Arabidopsis thaliana: one gene and its partners. The protein of the gene in region 1 binds, or shares a complex with, the protein of each later gene. Each region holds a gene or a part of one and is shown on either strand. Other genes may lie near its edges. The genes, in order: AT3G18500, AT1G27820, AT1G06450 and AT5G10960.

Evidence for each region.
Region 2: AT3G18500 (region 1) and AT1G27820 share a complex: the UniProt entries of both Arabidopsis thaliana proteins name them as parts of the CCR4-NOT complex.
Region 3: AT3G18500 (region 1) and AT1G06450 share a complex: the UniProt entries of both Arabidopsis thaliana proteins name them as parts of the CCR4-NOT complex.
Region 4: AT3G18500 (region 1) and AT5G10960 share a complex: the UniProt entries of both Arabidopsis thaliana proteins name them as parts of the CCR4-NOT complex.

Annotation. Positions count from the first base shown.
Region 1 is NC_003074.8:6,350,694-6,356,048, forward strand, and holds AT3G18500 (DNAse I-like superfamily protein), read left to right. Parts: upstream 1-1,778; 5' UTR 1,779-1,850; coding exon 1,851-2,163; intron 2,164-2,337; coding exon 2,338-2,507; intron 2,508-2,577; coding exon 2,578-2,643; intron 2,644-2,808; coding exon 2,809-2,861; intron 2,862-2,954; coding exon 2,955-3,036; intron 3,037-3,123; coding exon 3,124-3,213; intron 3,214-3,509; coding exon 3,510-3,602; intron 3,603-3,685; coding exon 3,686-3,718; intron 3,719-3,805; coding exon 3,806-3,912; intron 3,913-4,003; coding exon 4,004-4,115; intron 4,116-4,192; coding exon 4,193-4,278; intron 4,279-4,374; coding exon 4,375-4,459; intron 4,460-4,544; coding exon 4,545-4,604; 3' UTR 4,605-4,753; downstream 4,754-5,355. Other genes in the region: AT3G18510 (ATP-dependent helicase/nuclease subunit), read left to right, coding at 5,018-5,125, 5,196-5,291. UniProt on the Arabidopsis thaliana protein: Acts as a catalytic component of the CCR4-NOT core complex, which in the nucleus seems to be a general transcription factor, and in the cytoplasm the major mRNA deadenylase involved in mRNA turnover.
Region 2 is NC_003070.9:9,689,684-9,693,275, reverse strand, and holds AT1G27820 (Polynucleotidyl transferase, ribonuclease H-like superfamily protein), read right to left. Parts: upstream 1,649-3,592; coding exon 716-1,648; downstream 1-715. UniProt on the Arabidopsis thaliana protein: Ubiquitous transcription factor required for a diverse set of processes. It is a component of the CCR4 complex involved in the control of gene expression.
Region 3 is NC_003070.9:1,963,843-1,967,896, forward strand, and holds AT1G06450 (Polynucleotidyl transferase, ribonuclease H-like superfamily protein), read left to right. Parts: upstream 1-1,997; 5' UTR 1,998-2,081; coding exon 2,082-3,164; 3' UTR 3,165-3,377; downstream 3,378-4,054. Other genes in the region: AT1G06440 (Ubiquitin carboxyl-terminal hydrolase family protein), read right to left, coding at 1-1,063; ACD32.1 (alpha-crystallin domain 32.1), read right to left, coding at 3,466-3,502, 3,761-3,925, 4,022-4,054. UniProt on the Arabidopsis thaliana protein: Ubiquitous transcription factor required for a diverse set of processes. It is a component of the CCR4 complex involved in the control of gene expression.
Region 4 is NC_003076.8:3,462,059-3,466,908, forward strand, and holds AT5G10960 (Polynucleotidyl transferase, ribonuclease H-like superfamily protein), read left to right. Parts: upstream 1-2,039; 5' UTR 2,040-2,305; intron 2,306-2,419; 5' UTR 2,420-2,522; coding exon 2,523-3,356; 3' UTR 3,357-4,256; downstream 4,257-4,850. UniProt on the Arabidopsis thaliana protein: Ubiquitous transcription factor required for a diverse set of processes. It is a component of the CCR4 complex involved in the control of gene expression.

The DNA of each region.
Region 1 (5,355 bases):
CCAGAATTGCTGCGGTTATAAAAGCCACATCAATTATTTATCATCCTGTTAAAATATTTGGATTCACATTATCATCGATCGGTAAAAAAACTTTATGGTTGGATATTATATTTTATATATACAAAAATAAATTAAATAAGAAGTCTTAATCTGGATTTATCATATGATTCCCAACATAGCGTTACATTTATACCGAATCAAATAAAAATTTAGACAAATGTAATTTGAGAATTGTGTTTATTTGTTATTGGCACCGAAAGAAGAATTTGTACTTTGTAGAATTCAACACAAAACTATAGCATAGTGTCTGTAGTCTGTACGGACGAGAGTAGAAACTGTAGAAGATAGGGATTTGACCTACTAAATATTTTAATACAAGTCTACAAGCGATTATCCAATATTAAGCTCCTAGAGATGTGTGACTACAGAGTACTTAAGTGTTTATTTATTGCAATGACCTTTGGATACAAAGTACTCCTATATTGTTAACCAATTCACTTTTAATTTTTTTTACGTGACCAAAGCTAAGATCTTATCTAGAAAACTAAAAGCTTTCTGTCCTTTTGTTATATTCGGGCTTCAAAACTTTGTACCTTCTTCTTACCATCGCTGTCGAGAGAAAAGTCAGCAGAAGTTTTGGAAACTATTAGTTATAGGGATCGAATTATCTTAATCATCTACGATCATGTCATTTTGTGTTGGATATTTGTTAATGCTTGTACATTTCTAAAAAAACATGTGTTGTATATTAGCTAATGTCAATATGTGGTGCATATTTGCTAAGTTGCCGTGGAAATAACAAAAACTTAAAATTTTGCTAAGTACTGTACTTTTTTTTTTTTGTGATTGCAATTTGCTTAAGGTGATTGATGAACGAAGGCTATATGTAAAAACTGGAAAGGAGTGAATCAATGTGAGAAGTGGGTGAGTTGTTACTTCGTTAGAAGAGAGATTTGGGTTTATTTCGCTTTCCCTGAATTAATGGTAACGCACCCTTTTGGCTTTGGTTGTTGCGTGTCATTTATTTCTCTTTTGTTTTTAATCTTGTTATATCCATTTTCTTATACCTACTTTACTTTTTTTCCATAAAATGAGATTATGCAATTCAATCAGTAATGTTTTAAATCGCATACACTTTTATATTTAACAATATGCCTTCACTAATTTGTATTTCAAGATTAGTTAGTGATATTTTATAGTAAAGTTTAAAGAACATTATAATGTAGACGCAATCATAGAGTTTTTCTTTGTCAAAGGCAATATTGCAACAAAAAAAAAGGTAGAAACGAAGACATTTTTTTTTTTGTGTGTGTAATCAGTAATCGCCTTACACAAAAAGACATATACTTTTTTGTGTAAGGTTTTTTTTTTTTGAGCTACTATCACTAAATTTGAAATCAAATAATTGATACTCCAATAAAAGTAGAAATAATATCATAGTATATGAAAAAACAAAAAAAAATTACAAGGACGATGAAAGAAAAAACAAAATCTCATAACTCAAAATCAAATATCATCTCCAAGTTCTTAACATGATAAAACTAGACTAAAATAAAAACTGACATCCTACTAAAATTAGAAACAAAATGACATAAATTGAAATCAAACTCACAAAAAAAAACAATAGACATTAAAACAAAAAATCCGAATAACAAAAAACAGGATCTCAGCTAAACAAGGCCTGGTGTAGTATACTAGTATTGGCCCATGGCCCATGGTTTGGTATTTTTTTTTCTCTGACCAAAGGAAGAAAAAAAAAAAGATATTTATCCGTATGGCGCCAAGAGGTTTGTGTGGTTTTCGATTTCATCCAAATTTCTGAATTTCGTCTCTAACATCCACAAAATCGAATGCGTTGTGTGAATCGCGTTGATTGTTCTTGGTCACGGCCAAGCGAAGCTTACCGTATCTTACCCTCCGGTGGTCACCTTTCATCTGGATTCCATCAATGTCCTTTATCGTCTCTATCTTTCCGTTCCTCTTTCGTGTGTTGCTCCTCCTCCACATCTGGACCGTCCGATTCAAATCCCGAATCATCTTCAAATCGCTCTTACAGCCGTAGATGGCAGAATCCTCTTCCCCGGCGTCAACATCCCGATCAAATACCGTCTTCTCAGATTGCTCGTGATTGGATCGATTCAGATACAACTCCAGTTTCTCAAGGTAGTTTAATAATGATCTTATGGAAAAACTCTGCTCTTACTTATGAATTTGTGAACTAGTTAGGATTTAGTAAATTAGAGATATTAGTAATAGCTTGAGTTACTGTTTGTCCATGAAGCTTGTGAAATTGTGGATGCCTTTGGATCTTACTAGTGTGTCTCTATGTAATATTAGCTTTAGAGAGATTCACTGTAGTGTCGTACAACATATTGGGAGATGGAAATTCATCATATCACAGAGAGTTGTACTCCAATGTGTCTGTTCCTTACCTCAAGTGGGGCTACCGCAAAAGGTTGATATGCGAAGAACTCATTCGTCTCAATCCAGACATAATCTCTATGCAGGTAATGAACTTTACCTTGTTTTATATCGTGTTAAGATAGTTAAGTTGATTTTGTTTGTGGACCTTTGTAGGAAGTAGATAAATATTTTGATCTATTCAGTATGATGGAGAAAGCTGGATATGCTGGCTCCTATAAGGTTGATGTATTTCCTTGTTCAATGAAAAATTTTATGCTTATAAGATTAATGGGGTAAAATGTAAGACATGGTTTGTCGGTTGGTTTTATTTACCTTTTCGTCTGAAGCCTCAACAAAAGTTGTGTTTATATAGAAGGACTACAAATATAAGCTTTGCAATGGCAGCGGCGAACTGGAGATAACGTCGATGGTTGCGCAATGTTTTGGAAGGCTGACAGGTAGCACATATTGTTTGACTCAATCTGTATTAGTGTGAAGAAAAACGACTACTACAACTCAGCATTGTTTAAGATTTATCTTGTTTTCAAAAGGTTTGGAGTTTTGGAGAGGGAAAACATTGAGTTTAGCCAGTTTGGTATGCGGGATAATGTTGCACAGCTTGCTGTTCTTGAGGTAGAAATTTTTTTTGAATGTTTTACGAACTTCTTTTTTCATGTATATGCTTTGACTGATCCAGTTTTTTTTTGGGTTTCCCGTCAGCTCCGGAAGTCTAATAAGTCAAGAAAGATACTGCTGGGTAACATTCACGTGCTTTATAATCCAAATCAAGGAGATGTGAAGCTGGGTCAGGTAAGCCTCGACATTTCAATTTGTATATCCGCTACACGAGCAATTGACTGTCATGAAAGTTTACAAAATGTTGATCTGGCCCTTTCACCTTTGGCTTTAAGACTTCAGGAAATTGTACTGAATCTCAGTCAAGAGATGTTTACTAGCATTAGTTTAAATATCTAAGACAAGTCTAAGTTACTAGTATATGTCATGACATGTTCATTAGTATATGTCCTAATGCTCATGAAAACGTATTGAATTCGTGGCTTATGTTTTTTCTTGAGTTCCTGATTTGCCTTGTTCTTGACTGATAGGTCCGTTCACTCTGCTCAAAGGCTCACTTGCTCTCTAAGAAATGGGGTGACATTCCCATTGTTCTATGCGGAGATTTCAATAGCACTCCCAAGGTACGTATCTTTTCAAATAAACTCTTCCACTTTGGTTTGTGTATTTGTTTATTCATTGTTTGAGTTTATCTTATTACGTGTAGAGTCCATTGTACAACTTCTTGGCGTCCTCTGAGGTATGACTATTCATAGTTTTGCTTCAGTCAAACTACACTGTGTCCTCTTGTAGTTTCTTTAAATAGGATTATGCTTCTATCTTACAGCTGAATGTCATGGAACATGACAAAAAAGAGCTGTCCGGCCAGAAAAATTGTCGTCCTACCAAAGTTCTTGAAACTGGTAGCAAATCCAGTAATACAATAACTTTCAGGTAAGATTGTTTTTTGAAGATTTAATCAGTTCTGTGAATGGTTGTCTTGTGACTGCCTGCTGGAATAGCCATTGTGTTCACACACTAGTAGAAGTTTTTGTAGCTCTTGGACAAAAGAAGAGATCCGTGTCGCAACCGGGCAAGAGAACTCGTACTGGGCTGCGCATCCTCTGAAACTCAATAGCTCATACGCCTCAGTTAAGGTAACAAACAAAGCTTTAATGTCCCTGTCTATATATGACAAGACCTTAAATTTGCTCATGAACATGGTACACAACAGGGCTCAGCAAATACCAGGGACTCTGTTGGTGAACCTCTAGCAACCTCATATCACTCGAAATTTCTCGGAACGGTTGATTATCTCTGGTAAAACATTCTAAACACAACCAAAACTCAAATGGACAAATTTAATATTTGGCTGATGAAGTAACTAATTAGAAATACATGTGTGGTCTGGTTAAGGTACTCTGATGGTCTTTTACCTGCAAGAGTTCTTGACACACTTCCTATTGATGTTCTATGCAAAACCAAAGGCCTTCCTTGTCAAGTATGTCTTTCTATCAAACAGTTTAGATTTGGTGAGGTCATTTCTATGATTGATGCTTAAAGCCTTATTCGTCTTTGGTTTGCAGGAATTGGGAAGCGATCACTTGGCTCTTGTTTCTGAATTTGTCTTTGAACCGGACGGTTAAAGGCATCTAGTGCCAGCTTAGTTTTCTTTGAACCGAACCGTTATAAATGTGTTTTTATTAAATGTATAAGCGTACCGAAATTACCTGATCATGGTTCTATATCAAACCGACTTCTCGATAAATAAATAAAAATTGAGACGATCAGAAGCTTCAATCTTGTGTGCGTATTGGGTCACTAGGATATTAAATCGACTTCTTCGAACGTAATTTAAAGTGAGAGAACCAGTTTACTTGATTCTGGATCTAAACCGAAGCGGACATAAGCTTGGTTTAAATGTACCAAAAAGAAAGAATTGAACCAATTGGTACGGTTCTAATCTTGGTTCCGGTAAAATGAAAAGGAATTCTAAAGAGATTGAGAGCTGTAAAGTTGGAATCGAAGGAAGAAGAGACAAGAGAAAGTGAGGAAATTAATGGCGTTGAGCTCAATGACATGGGGTTACGCACGGATCATAGCTGGAACACTTCTCGGCGGGGCCCTCGGATTCTACGTAATGCATCGCATCGAAGTTAGCTACAAGGTCTGTTTCTTCTCTCTGTCTTCCTATGAGAAAGCTTGTGCTCGACCTTAGACTGTTGGGTTTTACGCAGATGAGGATGGAGGAAGCGTTGAATCAATACGAGAAGGATATGCAGAAGAGACAAGAAGAAGAAAATCTTATTCAGATCAATGAAGAATCTGTTTAGCTTATTTCTTGGTAGCATGCCTTCAAAGTGTTCGATGAAATGCCCAACAGATGTTTGATGCTGT
Region 2 (3,592 bases), on another chromosome or scaffold:
TCTGAGTATAGTTTTCACAAACTCGTATTACTATAGTCGGGTTTTGATTGTTTATAAAGTAAAACTGAAATATTTGTCAGTTAATTAGAATTTAGTTCATACTACTAAAATGAAGATTAAACTCGTTCCGAGTCAATGCGAACCGAATAAACAACGATCGACTGTAAGACCAAAACGAATCTCTTTATTCGGCGAAGACCATAAATTTGTAACTAAAGATAACTACGTCAAAGTGTAAAAGTAAAATAATAAAAATCTATTTGAACACAGTTCTTTTACTGGGTAGTTTCACCCTTTACAAAATTTGCAGAATGTAGTTGCAGCCTATTCGACTTTTTGTAAATGACCAAGTTGGCAACTTAATAAATACCGCGTGGTTTATAGCTCATGTGCGTAGACTTCCGTGTGAAAATGGAAGCGGCACAAACAGAGTTGTTCAATTTTGTTGACAGGAACGCAGCTTTAGCTACATAACATAAGATTAGAGGCTTTGAGTAGATTCTAAGATATTTAAATTTATTTGTACTGTATTCTAACTTTTTAGATTCATTAAAAGTATCCAGTAAAGAGAAATTGTGTCATATGAGAGTTAAGAGAATTGTTTTGATCGACAAGAAAAGATGAAAGTTAATCTTTAGTATTTAAAGAAACATCTGATAAAACTAGAAATTATACATAATAGCAGAGCAAGTCATGTTAAACAAACATTCAGGGATCACAAAACATAGTTCATTCCTTGGACCGGCATCCTAAAGTAACCACCACCAAAATACGGGTTCTGGTGATGAGCAGCAAACATCACCGGTCTCGGTCTCGGTATCGGCATCGGTATCGGGATGTAACATCTAGTCATCATAAACTGCTGATGCTGTTGCTGCTCTAGTTGAAATTGCTGATGATCAACTCGTCTTACACTCTGCTTTCTACTATTAAGCAAATCGAAAGTCAACTTAGTGAAGACACGAGCCGTCAATTCACTGTCTGAGCCAGCGTGATGAGCTTTTCCAACACGTTTCATCTGCAACACATCAGCTATTCTCTGTAGTCCGAATTGGCTACTTAGTCCGCTGCATGATTCAGCGATTTTCTTTACGTCAAAAACAAACTTTCCCAAAAGCTGCTGGACGGTCTCGTGAAACTCTTCCTTAGTCTCCGGTAACGGTTTCCCTCCCGTTAAGCCTTTAACGAGATAAGCATTGTCGTAAGAGCCTTGAAAATTCACCCAAGTTATCTTTCCGTCCTTCTCCGTGAGAATCTGAGAAAAGTCTCTAAAGAATTCATCGATTCCAATACCTTCCTCTCTGATCTTGTCCAGATTGAGACCATTGCTTTTCAGAAACGCAATGGACTTATCGTTTTTGAAGCACTTATGTTCGTCGAAATCTGACAAGTTTATTTCCCAGGTTTTAGCGAATCCTCTTCTGTCGAATAGCGTGAAACCTAACTGGATGAGATGGGTGTTGTCCACATTGAACTTCATGTCTCTGTAACGAATTTCCTCACTCGCGTCCATCGGAGTCTCCTTTAAGCATCCGGGAAACTCTGTGTCGATAGCGATGGAACTACAATGTTTCAAACAATCTCTTATCGAATTCATCTCTACTTCCTTGTTCCATCTCCAAACTTCACCGCTACTAATTTGCTTCATCTCGAACGAAACTACGAAAGAAAAAAACGTTTGTTTTTCTGAAAGAGAAAAGCGAGAAGCCACCTGAATTTATTTTCGTTTGGTTATTAGGATTGTTGTTAGAGGAGATTAGATTATGTAGAGTAACACAGACTTCAGTTTCCTTTTTTTTTTAAGGCACAACACAAAATTTCCTTTTTGTTTCTCCTAATTCTTGTTAAACACGAGAATTTCCATTTTTCTCTTAAAAGCCAAAGAAAAAAAAAAAACTAACTTAGTGCGGTGATTGTTTTTCGCACATAATTATGTATATTTTATATAGAGCAACTAGATATTTGTTTAAATAGATTTTAATAACTTTATAATCATTTTTTACTGTGAATAGAAAATAGGGTAAATTGCAGGCCACATCCGTTGACCATGTTTTATTTCCATGGATTGTCAAAGTCAAATGTGGTTTTCACCATTTGTCTTTTCGCCTGCAAAATGACGTTTCTGCCCTTGCGTTTCTCTCTTAGCAACTGTTGAAATGTACGGTTTAGTTTAGCAGGTTTAGTTACGTACACTGTTCCGGTTCAGTTGAAGATTTTTTGTTCACGTTGACGCGATTCGGTTCCGTTACAAGTGAGATTATTCCGAAGTGACATCAACATTTAATGCCCCCAAAAAGTTTAGATGTGACTATTGTCACAATTAATGCAAAATCATCATTACATCAAATAATATTAAAAAAATTATTAATAATAATTAAAAAAAAATTTGTTGAGATGAAGAAGATGAACCCAGGAACAAAGAATTATTGCGAACGTACATTGCTGCTGAAGAAGTGTTGATCTTGTTTTTGTACCAAGTTTGGAGCATTGCTCGTGTAAGTAATGAAGTTCTTTTAAGAAGTTTTTTTTATGTCATATTAGGATCTTGATTGTGTTCGAACTCCATTTTTTTATCAGAATATTTGCAAAATCTATATTTGTTTGTTTAAAATAGTCAAATGATAATTGGTATTTAGGTTTATAAATGTGTAGTATCGACATTCCATTTGTTTTTTATATGTATAGTATTTTTCAGTTGCATTTAATGTGTGTCTCCTGAATTTATGATGCAGGTGGGTTATGGATATTCCCGTATTTACCATGGTCGGTGAGTGGAAATGCAAAGAAGGAGAATGGAAATTTGAACCTGAGGAAGGCATCTTTGGTCGTTGTGTACGCGTTCAGGAAACCATGACGTACACGGACTTTGTCCGTACACTCCGAGAGGCTTTCAGTTTGAAGTCCACCGAGATCAATCCCATAATTAGCTACTGGATGCCGGGTGAAATGTCAGTGCTGATAGATACTAAACGCCCTCCTGTATACATTGACAGTCAGATGGGTCTCGAGACGTTTTTTTTGGTTCGTGGTGGGTATCTTTCTCTCAACTTGTTCGTCTCTTTCAATAATACAGTGAAGGCGTTCGGGAATACTGTCTCTAGGTCTCATGGTGAAGTTTCTGAAAGTGACCGTGTGTTTGATAGTGCTACAAATGTTGATGAAAATAATGAGGATGCAGAGGAGCAAGCCGATGTTGAAGACGATACAACAGAAGCGGATGAATTGGAGGAGGGCAACGAAGATGATGATGGGTGTGATGATTATCTTGGTGTGGATGGATCTATTGGGGGAAGTACCCTGTATCCTACCACAGACGGTAGTGAAGGTATTGGCGAAGAATACGATTACAACAAGTGGAACGATGTAATAGTAGAAGAATATGTACAAGGAAATCTTGAGGAAGACGTCAGTCTCACTCAACAGACTGCTCAACATCCAGGGAAATTCAGTCGTTTATTGGAAACGTGTACGTACACGGGTGTTAGTGTACCTAGCGGAGATACAGGGGAATTCAGTCGTCTCTTGGAAACGTGTACGTACACTGGTCTTAGTGTACCTGGCGAAGAAACAATCTCTCCATTGGGTTACGGTA
Region 3 (4,054 bases), on another chromosome or scaffold:
CAATCAAACGTCCTCTTTCATAAGCCTCTCTGAGAAAGACAGTGTGTCTTTTCCCTTTAGTTGACACATAAAACATGCCCGGGTGATCCAAGAACAAATCTCTTATGTTCAAATCAATCCCAAAACATTTTCTGAAATGGCTGATCTTTTCTACCTCCACCATCTTCTCTACAGTCAGATTCAGGAACTCGTGAGCAATCGCAACCGCTCTTTTCTCTATTCCCATCACACCGGATCTACTCTTCTTCTTACCAACCATGTCCTCGTATGGCCCTACGTAAGGCAGCCTCTGCCATTCCTTAACTTTAGCCTTAAATGTCTTGCTCAGTCTCATTCCTGGTGGGTAACTATGTTTGAAACTAAACTGAATCTCGGTTCTATCGACACTGCAATCCTCCTTAGAACACTCAACCACCCTCCATTTCTCAACCGCGGCCTCAAATTCCAGTCTTTTCTCTTCTTCCTGAACCAGCTCTAAGATATGGGTGTTGGATTCATGACCATCACTAAGCTTAAAAAGATGAGGGTTCTTTGAGATCACAGAGTCCTCAAAATCATCTGGGAGCCCAAGTTCTCTCCAAACCTTAAAAACCGCACGAAGCGGAATGGACTTTGATATGGACATAGACAAGAGCCTAACCAACCGGTCAACAACAAGAGACAAAGTAGCAGTGATAGCCAAAGCCTCTTGGCGAGAAATCTCCATGGCTACATCAGTTAACCTGCAAAAGGGCTCAGCTTTCACAGGATCATACAAGACATGAAAGATGTGAGGATACTTTCGCAGGAAAGAAGCAGCGCCACGATTAAGGTGGAGCTTCTGGGAGAGCCTGGAGAGAAACTCAATGGATAGAGAGGGAGGATCAGCTGTTGGATTGGCGAGGGTAAGGTCTTGTATGGCAATGACCTTGAGAAGGTTCTTGTATTTGTCCATGAGCTTCTCGAAAACAGGGTCTCTTGATCTGGAAGCTACATATTGAGCAGACGTAGTCGTTGATCGGACATTGATGATGGAGCCACCACATGGGTGAACCAGAAGTGATCTCATGAGGAGGAACCTCATAGTATCTCAAAGAGTATATGGAGCTATTTTGAGTTTCCGCGTTCCACAACGTCGCTGTATATACCCACACTCTCTGCGGAATTATATCGAACACCTAACAGGCATTAAGGGAAAAAACGAAATTAAAAAATGAAGTAGAAGAATTATATGGACCTTTGTATTTTCATGTCCAAGACCAAAACACATCTATAAGCGAATCAATTACCGCTATAAAATTTATTTAAACTAATAAAACACATACAATAATAGTTTAGCCTAGTAAATAATTATACTAGTTTGATATCATAAACTTTTGGTATGAGAGGATAAATGCTGTCAAATATAAAGTTTTATAAAACAAAATATTTTAATGTTATGGATAAGTTTTTGACTTACAAAGAATTAAAATGGTATGATGCGATTTCTATAATTAGTGTCAAAGCATCTAATAACAATAACCATTCAAGTTCTTAGTGTTTAAAATCAAAAGTTTAAACACTAATTGATACTCATTTTACATATTAATCTAATACTTGTATTGGAAGTTTTGCCATTATCTATTAATTATATGTAATTTACTTTTTGGGACGGAAAAAGGAAATTGTGGATTGGTTAAAAAGAGAGTAAAAGCACCATATAGTAGCAAAAAGTAAAAGATAACTACAAGAATTTCCTAACTCCTAACGAAAATTAAAAAAGAAGAAGATAATTTCTAAATTAAATTTAACAGAAATTAAATTAACAAATAAAATTATAATCAGAGAGAATATAAACCGTCATGATCAACACCGCGTTAAAATTAATTGGAGAGCAAGCTATTAGCTTAAGCTATGTATCTTTAATTAATTAGAAAAAATCCGAGAAAAAAGGAAACTCAGGTACACGAATTTATTTAAGAAAAGGATAAATACTCTCTTTTTTTTTATAAAGAACCCTAATGCTCTCACACAATCAATCAAACCAAAAAGACTTCTCGTATTCATGCCTCTCCCTCCTAAGAAAAGAACCCTAATTTTTATTATCTGCAGAAATCATCATCATGAACGAGATTCATCAACCGCTGGCGAGGAGAGTATGGAGAAGCAACGTCGATGAAGAGATGGCTCGTATGGCCGAATGTCTCAAGCGATTCCCACTCATCGCTTTCGATACAGAGTACCCTGGCATTATTTTCCGCACTTATTTCGATTCCTCTAGCGACGAATGTTACAGAGCCATGAAAGGTAATGTCGAGAACACCAAGCTGATCCAGTGTGGTTTCACTCTTTTCAACGCCAAGGGAGAGATCGGTGGTGTTTGGGAGATTAACTTCTCCAATTTCGGCGACCCATCAGACACACGCAACGAGCTTTCCATCGAATTCTTGAGGAGGCATGGTTTGGATTTGCAGAAGATTAGAGACGAAGGAGTTGATATGTTCGGCTACGGGTTTTTCCCTAAGCTTATGACTGTGTTTCGTTCTCAGAAACACGTTGAGTTCGTCACTTTCCAAGGAGCTTACGATTTCGCTTACTTCTTGAGTATCCTCAATCATGGCAAGCTACCAGAGACTCACGGCGAGTTTGCAACAGAGGTTGTCAAAGTGTTCGGTCAAGTTTACGACACCAAGGTCATGGCTGGATTCTGTGAAGGACTAGGTGAACACCTCGGGTTAAGCAAACTAGCCCAGCTACTTCAGATCACTCGTGTGGGAAGAGCACATCACGCTGGTTCAGACAGCTTAATGACTGCACTTGTCTTCATCAAGCTTAAACATGTCTATGAAGATTCCAGATTTGCTAGAGGATTGATCTATGGAATTGGGAAAAGCAACCTCGTTGCCGCCCCTGCCCCTGCGCCTGTGCCAGAGCCGACTCTTCCTTTGATGTGCCAGCAGAATGTAGCTTCATATCCTGTGTTCCACAATGGATATGTCCAGAACTATGAGCAGCCTCAGCTTGTCTCCTACGATCCTTCAGGTGCCCCATGGGCGTTCTGTAATGCTACCGGTACGTATGTGCAGCTTACTCATCTACCTGCAAGCACTTTTGCATACCCGTCTCAGACGCCATCTGCTACTGTTGATTATCTTGGACCAGTTCCTAATTATTACAACAATAATGCTTGCTACGTAGTTGAGTAGATTGAGATTTCCCCAGCTTTAGGATGATTAGATGCTTCTGAGCTTTTTTCTTTTTTTTTTCTTTTTCTTTTCTGGCTTTTGGTAGTAGTAATGAAGATTTTATTTTTATATATTTATGGATTGTTTACATGGCTTCACTTTGAGTAATGCCTGTCTACAATCTGTGATATATAAAAGACCAAACTATTTTACATAAAAGACCAAACTTTCTTCATGATTTGATATTTTTCTTTTCCACACAAACTGCTATATCACACACAATGTTTACCGTATCTATATATGGTTTCAGAACGATGAACCCTCAAAGCTTTGGAATTACTATTCTCAGAATCCCATCCCTGTTTCAAACGCAATAATAAATTGGATGTTAGTGCTCTTTATAAAACTTGCTAAATTCTATCTAAACTAATTCAAGCTAATGACTGACTGGCACTAAGATGTAAAATTGGATTCTAAAACGACTACTTTTTAGGTGTGCACTACTAGCTAAAACCTACAGGCAGAATCTATCATATGAACTCTAGGATTGAAAGATTTAAGGAGAATAGTTGTTTGATCATACGGTTAGATTGTTAGTAAGTATAGCTTCTACTTACATAAATTCAGCGGAAACATTATCCTTGTTCACATTGCTGGGGAGTGGCCAGGAAACTTTGAATGGTCCTTGTAGTATTTCTTGCTTATGATATCCAAGGATCGAAGCTTTGGTGCCTGCATCAACTTTTTGACAGATAGATGTGCGTCTACCTGTCACAGTCAAGCTGCAGCAGAACGGTAAGTACCTTTGTTACACAATGCATTTTTACTGTGTGAGTAATGGGAACAGATTGAAAAAAGATGTGTATCAGCAGGATTACTTTGTGTTGTCAACCTCCACTCTTATATCATTG
Region 4 (4,850 bases), on another chromosome or scaffold:
GAGGAAAAGATATTTATCCTAGTATAGTGCTTTACGATGACTAGATGATGATCCTCAAATTAATATTAGATCACCGGAGTTGGTCCAAAATAAAATGATAGAAAATATGGTCATATTATTATGAACGATATATCTTCAGATTTACGGTCTTGGTTTTTAATGGTTTTCTAATAAGATTATTTTCTCTGAAACGTGATCAAGAACTAAATACTCGTTTTTACGAGTGAACTTAACGTTTAGTAACTTAACAGCTATGAGCCTTCTTATCTTTAAGTGTATCTTATAATAGATCATATCGAAATGTTACCTAGAGTTCATGTAGAATATGACATTTGTTTTATCAAGCTGTTCGAACATTTGTAGGAACGATCTAAACATCTCTAAACAATCCAAAACCCATAAAATTAAACAAATATTTGGTACTAGATGATTTACCTAATCTAAATTATATGTGCACGTGATATTAAAGAATTTATCTACGTTAAATACATGCAACTGTTTAAATAATTCTTTCTAATTTAAGTAACAAAAATTTCAATTTTAGTTTCTATTTTCGTTTTTTTCGATTTTGATTTTAAATATAGAATTCTATTTAGATTTTAGATGAGCAAGCAATTACACGGTGAGACATATTTTTGGAGGGTAACAATTAAGTAAATTTTGTTATATATATAAGAACAATTATGCAGAAACTTTCATGTTTGGTATGTGTTGGATTCCAGAAGAAATTTCCTAAAAATGGTCGGATGATGAAACCACCATCTAATATTTCGTGACTTGACATTACTTGTTTATTTTTTTTAATTTATAGAAAAAGGTACACAATTATTTGATATAAAACAAGCTAATACATTAGTTTATATAAAAACGAATTAATTATTACAAAACAATGGATTATGCTTGAGGGTAAGTGGGAAGCACGATGATGCCTTGACTCCGTAATAATAATTAGAATTAAAATTCCTTTATCCCCTTTCTTCCTAATAGTTGTCTTTTTTTGTAAAAAAAAAAAGAACTTTGGTCCTCGTTTGAGTTGGAGAATCTTTTCATGTAATAATTTTAAGAAGAAAAACTGATTACGCTGGTGAAACTTGAAAGTTTTTTTCTAAAATAAATAAATCTAAAATGATTCTATTCATGAACGAAGATGATTGTAACAAGTGATGCATGTATCTCTATCAAACGTCTTCCCATTCGTTGTATGATTGCATTAATATTGGCCACTTGTAACTTGTAAGGTAGAAATCCCAAAGTCAATTCTATTATAATTAAAATTACTTTGTTTTGTTTAACAATTATGCTAACAAATCCTTCTTAATAACAAGATAACATAAATCTAAAATCCTTTTTTTGAGTTGAAAAAAAACAAGATACCATATTTTCAATTAATTGGCAGAACTACATAGGAAACAAATCCGAAATTGAAGAGTTTACATAGAAGAAAAAAAAACAGAAATAAAAGAGTTTACCTGGAAAATAATCAAATATTATGTTCTTTCAAATTTTCGACAAAAAAAAAAATTGATATTCTTTCAATTTTGTGAGATAATCAGTACAGAAATTATTAAAATGTGATATAAAATTGCGAGACAATCCGTAGGAATATTATTACCAAATGATATAAAACTGAGTTAAAATTGTAAGAAAAAGAAGTTTTAAGGTTCTTCAAATCATCTAGCTGACTAGCTCCATAGCAAAAATAAATAATTTTGATTGTTTATTAGCACAATCTGTTTCTTAACCATATAAATTTAGACTTGTACAAAAATCAAAATGCAGTTTAGTTTATACAACTTTTCCTATAACTATAAAGTTCGATCGTCATAATAAGGTATAACAATTTAACTCTAGTACCAAATGCTATAAAATACATAAAATTTAAGAATAATGGAGGTAGGTCTACAAAGCAAAAGAAAAAAAAAAGATCATGGAAGTTACAAACGAACGGAATTTCCGTGATACACATAAATAAAAATTGGTCATCATATCACACAATTCGCATCATTAAAATAATTAGAAAACGGACAATACGGATAAAATAATTGGTAACTGGCCAAAACGTAATGATTGATGTAAGAAGACGCACGGCAAAACGTCGTCGTATAAGCTTTTCATCGTCAAACAAAACGGCTTCGTTTCAAGGCTCACACTTGTCTTTATTTATCACTTCATCTTCTCCAAAGCCATACCACTTGAAACCTCTCTCTCTGGTTGACCCGATAATTTCTCTCTCGCAGACGCACAGATCTCTCTTCGAATCTGCTAGATCTGTTCCTTTTCTTACATCTGTATTGCGAAACCTCTGGTAATTTCATACTTTCATGTCTCTCCGTTTCATTTCGATTTTCGTTTCACAGCTAGGGTTTGCTTTTTGTTACATCGATTTCTGATTTTCCTGGTGTTGTTGCCTCTTCCTCAGATCGGAAGGTTTCGTTTACAGATCTACCGATACGAGTTTCGCAGTATTTCCGAGTTCCGACGTATGCTTTGTTTTCAGATCTGGGTTTGTTGTATATCTAGAAATGGCGGAGACTTTGAAAGAAGATTCGATTATGATTCGAGAGGTTTGGGATTACAATTTGGTTGAAGAATTCGCGTTGATCCGTGAGATTGTTGACAAATTCAGCTATATCGCTATGGATACTGAGTTTCCAGGTGTGGTTTTGAAGCCTGTTGCTACTTTCAAGTACAATAACGATCTTAACTACAGGACTCTCAAGGAAAATGTCGATTTGTTGAAATTGATTCAAGTTGGGTTAACTTTTTCTGATGAGAATGGGAATCTTCCGACTTGTGGGACGGATAAGTTCTGCATCTGGCAATTCAATTTCCGTGAGTTCAACATCGGTGAGGATATCTACGCGAGTGAGTCTATTGAGCTGTTGCGTCAGTGTGGGATTGATTTCAAGAAGAACATTGAGAAAGGTATTGATGTGGTTAGGTTTGGTGAGCTTATGATGTCGTCTGGGATTGTTTTGAACGATGCTATCTCGTGGGTTACGTTCCATGGTGGATATGATTTCGGGTATTTGGTTAAGTTGTTGACTTGTAAGGAATTGCCTCTCAAGCAAGCTGATTTCTTCAAGCTTCTGTATGTGTATTTCCCTACGGTTTACGATATCAAGCACTTGATGACGTTCTGCAACGGACTGTTTGGTGGATTGAACAGACTTGCGGAGCTTATGGGAGTGGAGAGAGTTGGGATTTGTCATCAAGCTGGGTCGGATAGCTTGCTCACCTTAGGGTCGTTTAGGAAGCTCAAGGAACGTTATTTCCCGGGATCAACTGAGAAATACACTGGAGTCTTGTATGGTCTAGGTGTGGAAGATGGTACTACTACTACTGTTGCTAATTAAGAAGAAAGGAATGAAAGATACTTTGAAAATTCCAGGGAAGTGCGATTAGATATATTTCTTTAGTCTTTGTGAGTGTGAGAAGACCAAAATAGAATCGTCGTTGTGTAAATTGGCAAATTGGTGTTAGTAAGTGACTTGTTGTGTCTTTGTTGCTTTGTTTTCAGGAAAACCCCTTGTGATCAAAATTTGAGGGGTTTTTGTTTTAGCTTGAGTTTCTGAATGTATATCAATTCAGCTACCCGTTTATTTAATAAATAATCTCCAATTTTAATTTTTCTTCTCTTTTCTTTTTGTGTGTGTTTTCTTCTTACTAGTGACCAATGTAACTTGACAGTGGCTTCTTGTAGTAGCGTTTGCATGTCTCAGCTTGCAGTTACTGTGTAATTCTTTGTAACCATACCAGTTTGAAGATGCAAACTGGTAAGTTTTATGCTTAAGAGAATGTTGAATCTTCCTGTGTTCTTCTTTCCCTCTTCGTTGATACAAGTTGATAAGGAGAACAATGAACTGCTTATGCTAGAGGTTATATGTGTTACATTGTTTAAAAAACAGAGCTATGGTAATCGATTGATGTATAGATTTGTTATTTAGGTGTTTATGATGTAAGTGGTATCATGTCATGGTTAATGTGGAGGAGAATCACATATGTATGCTGTTGCATTCGCCAATCACCTCAATAGCCAATTTATTATCATATTGTCAATGAGTAGCATTCTAATGCAATCAATGTTTTGTTGGGCAAGTATTCAGACGTCATCTGAGTCGCAAGTGGTACAGAAGATTACGAGATTTGACTGATTGAGACGTCGTAGCTCATTCAATTGCCGAAGAAAAAAAAAAAAGTATCAGCCTGTTGGAAGTATTATGTCAAAATGTGGATTTGTGTATGAACTCAGTTTCCATCAAGATAATTAAATCTAAGTTTCTCAAAACCTTAAATATTTCATTACACGAACTTGTTTGATGATCGAAAACATATGATCCAATAGCAACACGACACGAGAAATAAAGTAAAAAGAAGAAAACAACAGCAATACGGCAAAAGTCCGAGTCACTATTATGTAGGTGTGGCAGAGAATCAAATCTACTTCTTATTACAGAAGAAACAGTGTACTTGCTAGTCCTGTCTTTAACGGCTTCTCTGAGTCTCTTCACGTGTGTTTGTGTGTTGGGAATTGGGATTCTGATTTGGGCCTTTGTTGTGTGGGCTTTGATCAGAGGTGGGAGAACGTTTTTACCAAGGTTGAATTGGGATTCTGATTTGGGCATGTTTGTTGTTTTAGGGTTTAGTTATTATCAAATGACCACTATTGGCTATTGCTTTGCTTTAGGTAACCAAAAAAACGTTACATATTTAAATAAAAATGTGTAACACAGTGCGGACGAAATAGCATCAAAATTATTTATATACATATCAGATATGAATTGAGTTAATTAGTGTCTAATTATTATCTTGTGGCTGCCATATGTCTTTTTTGAACTTGTTCTCGTTGA